Oryzias latipes: one gene and its partner. The protein of the gene in region 2 purifies or fractionates together with the protein of the main gene of each other region. This does not show direct contact. Links are inferred from orthologs where the notes say so. Each region holds a gene or a part of one and is shown on either strand. Other genes may lie near its edges.

What was found.
Region 1: the proteins of mcm3 (region 2) and mcmbp purify together in Homo sapiens (affinity purification with mass spectrometry; 10 studies listed by BioGRID and IntAct, counting the BioPlex papers as one, with this or other methods). This does not show direct contact. The link is inferred for Oryzias latipes from reciprocal best matches to the Homo sapiens genes MCM3 and MCMBP.

The regions. Positions count from the first base shown.
Region 1 is NC_019873.2:29,884,396-29,888,894, forward strand, and holds the start of mcmbp (mini-chromosome maintenance complex-binding protein), read right to left. Parts: upstream 2,967-4,499; 5' UTR 2,814-2,966; coding exon 2,756-2,813; intron 2,118-2,755; coding exon 2,026-2,117; intron 1,957-2,025; coding exon 1,816-1,956; intron 1,734-1,815; coding exon 1,692-1,733; intron 1,619-1,691; coding exon 1,529-1,618; intron 1,454-1,528; coding exon 1,330-1,453; intron 1,252-1,329; coding exon 1,106-1,251; intron 1,037-1,105; coding exon 939-1,036; intron 868-938; coding exon 695-867; intron 1-694. Other genes in the region: sec23ip (SEC23-interacting protein), read left to right, coding at 3,380-3,512, 4,072-4,499. UniProt on the Homo sapiens protein: Associated component of the MCM complex that acts as a regulator of DNA replication.
Region 2 is NC_019882.2:13,464,069-13,468,525, forward strand, and holds the start of mcm3 (DNA replication licensing factor MCM3), read right to left. Parts: upstream 2,840-4,457; 5' UTR 2,421-2,839; coding exon 2,346-2,420; intron 2,223-2,345; coding exon 2,110-2,222; intron 1,669-2,109; coding exon 1,460-1,668; intron 1,389-1,459; coding exon 1,258-1,388; intron 1,192-1,257; coding exon 953-1,191; intron 877-952; coding exon 768-876; intron 686-767; coding exon 532-685; intron 399-531; coding exon 267-398; intron 192-266; coding exon 1-191. UniProt on the Homo sapiens protein: Acts as a component of the MCM2-7 complex (MCM complex) which is the replicative helicase essential for 'once per cell cycle' DNA replication initiation and elongation in eukaryotic cells.

The DNA of each region.
Region 1 (4,499 bases), on a different chromosome or scaffold from region 2:
GATGTGTAAGGAGGGTGGAGCAGGTGGGGGGCAGACGTGTAAGAGGTGGAGCGGGGGGGCAGATGTGTAAGAGGTGGAGCGGGGGGGCAGATGTATAGAGGTGGAGCAGGGGGGGCAGATGTATAGAGGTGGAGGAGGGGGGGCAGACGTGTAAGGAGGGTGGAGAGGAGGGGGCAGACGTGTAAGAGGTGGAGCGGGGGGGGCAGACGTGTAAGGAGGGTGGAGCGGGGGGGGGCAGACGTGTAAGGAGGTGGAGCAAGGGGGGCAGATGTGTAAGAGGTGGAGGGGGGGGGCAGACGTGTAAGGAGGGTGGAGCAGGGGGGGCAGATGTGTAAGGAGGGTGGAGCAGGTGGGGGCAGACGTGTAAGGAGGGTGGAGCAGGGGGGGCAGACGTGTAAGGAGGGTGGAGCAGGGGGGGGGGCAGACGTGTAAGGAGGGTGGAGCAGGGGGGGCAGATGTGTAAGAGGTGGAGCGGGGGGGGGGAGACGTGTAAGGAGGGTGGAGAAGGGGGGGGCAGACGTGTAAGGAGGGTGGAGCAGGGGGGGGGGCAGATGTCCTCCAGGTCAAACGTCTTGAGTTCCTGCGTGATGCTGATGAATTTCCACGGAAGCGACAGAATTTACTGGTTTTGGTGTTTCGGCGTTTTCTTCTAGTCTGGAATCATTTCTGTTTCTACAAAAACACGCGTCCTTACAGGCGCCGTTGTCGTCCGAGGTTGCGTGCGGCAGCAGCGGGTTGTTGTGTTGCAGCGGTTTGGCGTGGAGCACGTGAAGCCGGGGAACGAGCGAGGCCGGCGGGCTGTGCACACGCTGCTCCTCCGCCGTCTCCATGCCCTCCGTGGGGTCCAGGAAGGACGAGGAGGCGTCTCTGCGAGGAAGAAAGGCGGTGAGACGGGCAGCACGCAGACAGGGGGCGGGGCTACGAAGCGAGGGCCTCACCTCTCCTCCGCCAGGGCGCTGAGAGCGGGACTGACGGACAGGATCCCGAAAACCTCCAGGGCGTCGTTCAGCTTGAAGCTCTCCCAGTCTTCGTACACCTGCCAACGAGCACAGCCTGAGGATCAGGGTTCCCACCGGAGCCACCAACGCGCTCGTCCAGCTCCAACCTTCACCAGGCAGGCGGGGCCCCTCTCTCCTGGGAGGGGGAAGTTGAGGTCGAGGTGGGATGCGGACGCCGCCTGGGTGGGAGGAGCCTCCGTCTCTTGACGCTTACAGTCGGCGTTGCTCTGCAGGTCCGTTGGACCCTGAAGACCTGCAGAAATATTTGGAGAACGTTTGAGGGGGGAGGACGCCTAAGGTTCGACACCCAGCAGACGGCGAAGACAAACACCTGCGTGAGCTTGCTTCTGCGGCTGCGTGTCCATGTCCTCGTCCTCCTCGTAGCTGCGTTTCTGCCTGCTCGGCACGTAGGAGGTGGACGCCACCACGCGCGCCTGGCTGCTGCCCGCATATCCGTGCTCTCAGGTTAAGGAACAACACACAACTGTTCACACTGTCATCAGAGAACCTGATCCCTGATCCCAGGATATGTCCTTCACCCACAGGTTCTCCCCAGGAATGGGCACACAGTAGAAGGTCTGCCGCTCTGCCGTCACGGTGTTCTTGGAGTTAAAGTCCACCTGGGATTCAAACCAACAGCTGAGCTGAAGCGGCTGCACCACCTTTGAGGACAGCAGCAGGATGCAGACTCACCCCACATTCTGCCACATCCCTGTACTTCCCACAGTGCAGCATCTGGGGGTCAAACAGGACAAATGAGGGGGAGGGGGGTCAGCTGATGCTAGAGATGTGGGGGGGGGGGGGGGGGCACACTCACTTTAGCATCCGTGGGTCCGTCCACAGTCTCATACACTCCCATGTAGAACTCCGGGTCAAACATGTCCTGGATGAAGCAGCGAAACTTCACCAAACTGTTGGGCTTCAGGTAATGCAGGGGAACGTCGTTGAGAGACGGAACCTGGTCCAGAAAAGGACAAGGTCAGAACCGGACGGCCGGTGAAGACGCCGTCTGCAGGACTCTCCTCACCAAACTCTGAGCGCTCTTCTCCTTCAGCTGCTCCTTAAAAAACTCCACCACCTCCGCCTCCCACCCGGGGGAGGAACCCTTCTGCGCAGCCGCTGCAGCATCAAAGGAAGACGTCATTTCCGGCAGCAAATGAATGCTGCTGAAGGTTTAAACTACGGTTTGCATTTTATATTAACATGTGTGAATGTGTCATTTTATTCGATCGTTTAAAAAAAATGTTAAAATAACAAACACATTGGCATTAAAAATGAAATAAAGTAAATGTTTAATGAACTTCAAGATTGTTGGTTTCGTTCTTCATGAAGGAATTCGTCATCATCAGAGACTGTATATATGAAGTCACTTCAAAAGAACCAGTATGACAAAACAAAAACGTCTTTAGATCTAACAAAAAGTTGACGAACCCCGAACGACATTTCTACAGTCAGTAAAGGTTTCCGCGCGCCCGATTCTCGTCTATGTCCACCGACTGTGTCAATAAAGTTTTAAACTGATGCACCGCGGGCAGCGGCACCAGTGCGTCAGTTTCAGTGTCTTTGTGTGAAATGTAATAATAACCACCTGGTTTATTCCTTTCTTGTTGCTGTTTTGCATTGTTGTGTATTGAAATGTTACATTTAATAAAGTTTGTAAAGGAAAAAAAAAAAGCTCCATGTGAGGGCGGCTGGACGCGCGCGCGGCTAACGAGCTAGTCTGAGGCGTTAAGTGTTTGTGGAGGGAAGTTTCTCACCAAACTTCTCTTCAACAACACCGAGAGGTGCGTGAATCCAGTCCTGCGTGGAAAGCATCGCTAACCGGCCACTGAACCCGTGGAATCAAAGACAAACGTGCGAGGAAAACCCGCGCGGCTTCACTTCTCCGATAAGTTTTTCACTCACTCGGGATTGCAGAAGCGAGGCGCGAAATTTGCGTCACTGCGCACCAAGAGGGGGTTGGTTTGATTCGAGAACCGGAGTAAACCGGAGCGCGGAGCCACAAGCAACTTTTTGCTTTTGTTCACCGCCCTAAAAACTGGTTTGGATTCCGAAGTCGTTACAAATTAAGTAGAAATTTGTTATCTCTCACGAGATTTTACTTTGTTCTGACAAAAGAAGAAAAAAGGTGCAAAAAAAAAACCAAAGGAGTTTGAATCATCATCCGGGCCTCTAGATGGCAGCACCAAAAACATTGATCCCCTCGGGTCAAGCCAATCGGGTATGTTTCGAAGATTTATAAAACATCTGCTAAGATGTTTACTGAAATCTAGTGTCGCGTGAGTGTTGGAGATCGGGGAAAACTGTGACGTCAGGAGACGTTTCTTTCGCATTTACTGCCAGCCTGGTCCGGTTGTGGCTACGTGTAAATCCAGCTGAAAATGGCAGATAGAAAAAATAACAGTGGTCCCGACAGCAGCGCGAATTTACTCTTTAGTGCCGCTCCAGACTTTAGCTTTAACCTGCCTTTCATGCCGGTGAGTCAGGCGTCGGGCCCGGCGGTGCTGTCAGGAGGTGAGCGGAACCGCGGACGGAGGTCCGAATGTTGTCAGGGCGAGAGCTAGCTAGCTAAGCTAGCCGGTTAGCTAGCTGTGCTGCTTCAGCCTTTAAAAACCCTCAGATTGAGAGAAAAGATGAAAAAGTGACGCGTTTTATCTGCAACACTGGATCTGCTTTTGTTAAAAGAAAATGAGTCAGTTTAAACATTTTTAGTGAAGAGTTGTAAATGGATGAACTTTGTTCAGATTTAAAACAATGTTGTTGTTAAAATGCTGGAATCTGTCTTTTAGAGATTTATTTTATTTATATATTATACATGTATTTTAGTGAAGTCAACATGCTTATTGCCTGAAAACCACTCGATAACATCCTGTTTGATCGTTTCCACTTAGGAAAGGATCACACAGGATGTCATGGTGCTCATAAAAGTTTAGAATCATATGGAGAAAGCTGGAAATGTTGTGGACGGCGGTGAAGCTTCACTCCTGAAGTTTGATGTTTAGAGAAGCCTCACAGAAACCCTGACCTGCAGTTTCAGTGTCAGAAAACGTTGACCCGTCTTTGTGTCCATCAGAAGACTCTACTGACGTTGGAGAAGAAGACAGTTTCCTGGGTCAGACCTCGGCCAACGGTCCGCCGGCGGCCTCCTCCACCTTCAGCTACTTCTCCAACCCCGTAACGACCTCTGACCCCTTTGCCAGTATTGGTCAGTCACCATGCCCGCCAGCAGGACGCTCCTCGACCTTAACCGCTGCTGGACCCGTTTCTTTTCCCAGCAGCATCGCCATGTCTCCGCCATCCACAGCTTCACAAATGAACCCCCCTCCCTCAACGTTTGGCAGTGCTGTTTACCAGAGTCCGCTGGGACGACAGACTCCTCCCCCTACAACGATGACCCCGCCTCCTGCTCAGATGCAGCCGCAGCATCACAACCCGTACCGCCACACGGCGTCCAGCAGCAGAGCCAGTCCTTACATTCCAGCTCCAGAGATCCTGCCCCCA
Region 2 (4,457 bases):
GGCAGCGGCCAGCACGGAGCAACGGGCGTTGAGCCGTGCGTGGATACCGGCCTTCGCGATGGTGACGCGGCCCTGCTCCATCACCTCGTGGATGGCCGTGCGGTCCATGTCGGACATCTTGTCGAATTCATCAATGCACACCACGCCGCGGTCGGCCAGCACCATGGCGCCCGCCTCCAGGCGCCGCTCGCCTTGGGGGAGAAAACCCATTGAGCGGTGGAGCAAAGGAGAACGATCGAGTTAGTCAAGAGAAAAGGCGGGGTTACCTGTCTCCTGGTCGGTGGTGACGGCAGCCGTGAGACCCACGCCAGACGACCCCCGCCCGGTAGTGGGGATGGCTCTGGGCGCCGTGTGGAGGACATATCGCAGCAGCTGGGACTTCGCCACCGACGGGTCACCTGTCAGAGGTTAAAGACCCACGATCACCAACGGGGAGGTGAAGGGGGGTTGGGGTTGCGCTTTTTACAATAGATCACAAGATAATGGAAGTGGGTCCACCCAGAAGCTCCTGGATTCCTGCGGTGGTCTTACCGATGAGCAGGATGTTGATGTCCCCTCGGATGCGGGAGCCGTTCTCCAGAACCTTCTCCACGCCTCCCAGCAGCATGCACAGGATGGCCTTCTTGATATACTCGTGGCCGTGGATGCTGGGAGCCAGAGAGCGCGCCAGCTGGTCAAATACGTTCTACAGGGGGGAGAAAAACCCAAATGTTTCAACGTCTCTGTCTGCTGAAACAGGAAGTTCTAAAGGGAGGAAAATGACGCACAATGGAGCGAGTCTGACTGAAATTCCTGATCTTGGCAGCGTCGTCGGCAGAGAAGCACGGAGACACCTCCTTGCTCATTTGTTTCACGTTGCATGCTATCATGATCGTCCTACAACCCAAAAGAATTGAGTTAATGGTCAAAGTTTCTCAGTAAACCCGGAAAGCGGCAGAGAAACGTGTCTCACCTGAAGGTGCCGGAGGTGAATCCCCCCTTCTTTCCAGGAAGGCAGCGGTACGTTCCGATCACCTGCACCCTGTCTCCGGGTTTCACCATATCCACCAGGTCGTTGTCTAGGATGATGTCCACGGAGCGGGGCAGCTGGCCCGCGGGGGCCTTCTCGGGCATTTCCTGCACTGTGATGGTCTGGTGGTCTTTGTAGATGGACAGACCGAACTCCGTCTCCAGCGGGTTGTTCTCCTCGTCCTGAAAGCATCACGTTCAGTCCAAAGCTCGCGTCTGAGGAGGCTAAGATGGCAGCTTCACCTGTACCTTGGTGGGGTAACTAGCGCTGGAGGGAAAGGCGTCCAGCGAGGTCAGGTCAGTGTACTTCCTCTCCATGGTCTTCTTCGTGGCCGGGCAGTAGTGGACGCTGCGCACCACCTTGGGACGCACCAGAGAACCTACAGACCACAAAGTCACATCAGGGCTTCTGCCGTCCTTCTGCCAATCCCACAAACAGAAATGTGCTCACATTTGGTGATGATGCCCTCCACACAAACCATGCTGCCCAGCAGGCGGGACGTCAGCGTCCGCGGCGAGACGTGCTTGGCGCCGAAGCTCCCCTCCAGACCCACGAAGAACTCCTCGTGCTGCTTGGCGTAGGTGGCGTCCACAGAGGCGACCAGATCCTTCAGAGCCCGCTGGAACGCCACCAGCTCCTCGAATGCGTTGGTCATCAGTCTGTTAGAGGAAAATTGTTCAAATTCATTAAAGAAATACGGAATTTCCTGAGGTGATCTTCACTCATGATTAAAATGTAATTAATTTCTACTAGTAACAAATTCCTTTCAAAATAAAATATATCCTAAATATATCCCAAAATAAAATATAACCTATATTTCCTGCTGCAGCAGATTTACTTGACTTAAAATAAAGACAATTAGTTAAAAAAAACATACCCAATGTTTATGTAAATTATTAACCTTTTTTCAAAGTCAATGAGCCTCAATAGAGACAAAAGGGCCGCAATTGACTCCAAATCACCGTTTTGATAAACTAGAGTAAAACGTTACATTTCTCCTTTTGATCACGAAATCGCCCTATGATTTTCGCTGTTTTGTGTGCACGTGTTACGTTTACAGAAAAGTGTGTGTGTTGTGTTTGCATTGTGTTGTTTCTGACTTTGCAGCTCGGGCTTCGTTGCGTCTCCTCAGGTCGTTGATGTTGACGATGAGTCGTGCTTTGTTCTCGTTGATCATGTCCCGGACTTTGCTTTGGTAAATGCCCTGGTCTTGCTAAAAATGAAAAGTCGTGATGAAAAACATTAAAACAGAAAAAATAATTAGTTTCGCCAAAACCGAATCACTTCACGTGAGACCAAAGAAACAGAACAGAACAGTTTTTTGCCGCAGACTCACATCGTCGTCCAGGAAGTCCAGATAGTCCCTCTGTGCCTCCCTCATTTCCTGGTCATCTACGACGTCGGTCGACATCTTTGTTGTAAAGTTAAGTTTTTAAGTCTTTAAACTAATAAAAACTCTTTAACCGCCGCAGTGTGCTCCTCTGCAGGCAAACCACACAAGTGAAAGAGTTTCGCGCCACTACATATCACGTGCCACCAAAGCGTGCACCACTATTGGCCAGCTTGCAAGCCACCTCCTCGGCTCCCAGTTCAGCTATCCAATAAAGTGTTTGCTTCCCTCTGTGGCCCCGCCTTCCCAGAGGACTCCCGCGAAAATGCAGCGGAAGGAAGGAGTCTGGAGGTGGGCGTCCATTTCCAGACAATTTGCAGTTATAGATTTCTGCCAGTAGAGGGCGACAAACACCAACCGGAAATTCAACAAAACTACAGAATTTTTTTAATTATGTAAATCCTGGAGAACTTAAGAACACATTTCCTTTGGACTTTTAAAGTTAATTTGACTTTTTTGTTTGTTTGTTTATATTGGGTAGCCGCAGTCAACAGCGGTAAAAAAAAATAGAAAAAACTAACAAGTAAAAGTTTTTAAAGAGGAAATAAATATGAATTATTTTTTCCCTAATTACTATTTATATTCGGATTTATCTAAACATGCAACCAGGTACAGTTTTTCTCAGTTGCTCTAGTACAATTCTCAGATCAGAATTGAAGTTTGCAAATACGTGTGTGCATTTCTCAAAACAATTTGTACAAACAGCAGCATAGATCTTTGGTTCATCTCTCAAAACTAAGTCTTTATGTCATTGAACATGTCAGTGCCATCAGAATGTCAAGTCCTTGTGTCATTGTCTACGAACAAGACAGTCAAATTACTTAGTCATGTTGTCAATATAACTGTGTACTTTAGAGGGAGGTTCTGATGTAAACTATGGCTAAAGTTTGGATGACAATTATTGTAAAATGTAAGTTACACCTTTTCTGTTTGATTGCAAGAGACTGGACAAGATTCACATTTACACTTTTATTGTTCATATTGTAATTTGTTGACAGACCATGTCATACCAACATAAAAAAAAAAACACCGCAAACAGTAACACAAACGGAAAATAAAAGAAAGGACAATATTCTGTACAACAGTACAGGCAGTGCAGTAGGAATTGGTGTGGTCTTCCTACACCTCTTGTCGTTCCTGTATTTTAGGCCACGAATTCTCATCCACATCACAGCGAATAGCCTCTCTTGCAATGCAGTGAAATATGTTTGTCACATTATGACAACTTGGTCAACCATTTTGCAGTTGACGACTTACGATGAACTAATGACTAGGTGTTTTGAGGAGTAAGACTGTTGCAAGGTGAACTATATAATACATTTTTGATCAACATGACATAAACAACTGATAATGTAGCAAAGAGCAGAGAATTGTACATAATCATTTGCATGGATGTACCAAAGCAACTGCAACTTGTTCAAAGAAGTGAGAAACTGCTTATATGATGTGCATAAGTGACATCATGATGTGAATATTGAACAAATAGTTTTGGGAATTTCATTCTGATCTGAGAATTGTACTGAAGCGACTGAGAAAAACTGTAATATACAGTTATTGAAACAACGTCTAATTAAAAAACGTACATGTGGTATATTTATGAGAGAATTCTGCTGCCCTGAAAATGTGAATGTAGACGTGTTGATTCATAAAAATGTGACTTTTTACATCTGGTGGGCGTGTCATGTGAGTTTGACTCCGCCTTCCCCAGTTCTCCAGTTTGTTTTGCTTTTGCCGGTTCAGAGCCTGGATCATGTCTTGTTAGTGTTTGAATACTCCCGTCTGCTCGCCTTTTGTTGGAAGAGAGTCGGTCTGAGGTTAAAACCAAGCGGGTGGAGTTAAAGCTGTTGTCTGGTCTACCTGCGCAGGTGAGATGAATATTTCTCCCTTTTAAATAACATTGCCATGCTTTATCTCTCTGAAATAGTCTTTGTAGTATAAAGATTTTTTTTAAGTATGAGTTTAGTGACGTACAAAATTGAATCATGATAATCCAACAGACTGAATGCAAATTTGTATACCTGTTGAACGGCATTTTTCTCACCAAGTCCCAGGTTTGAG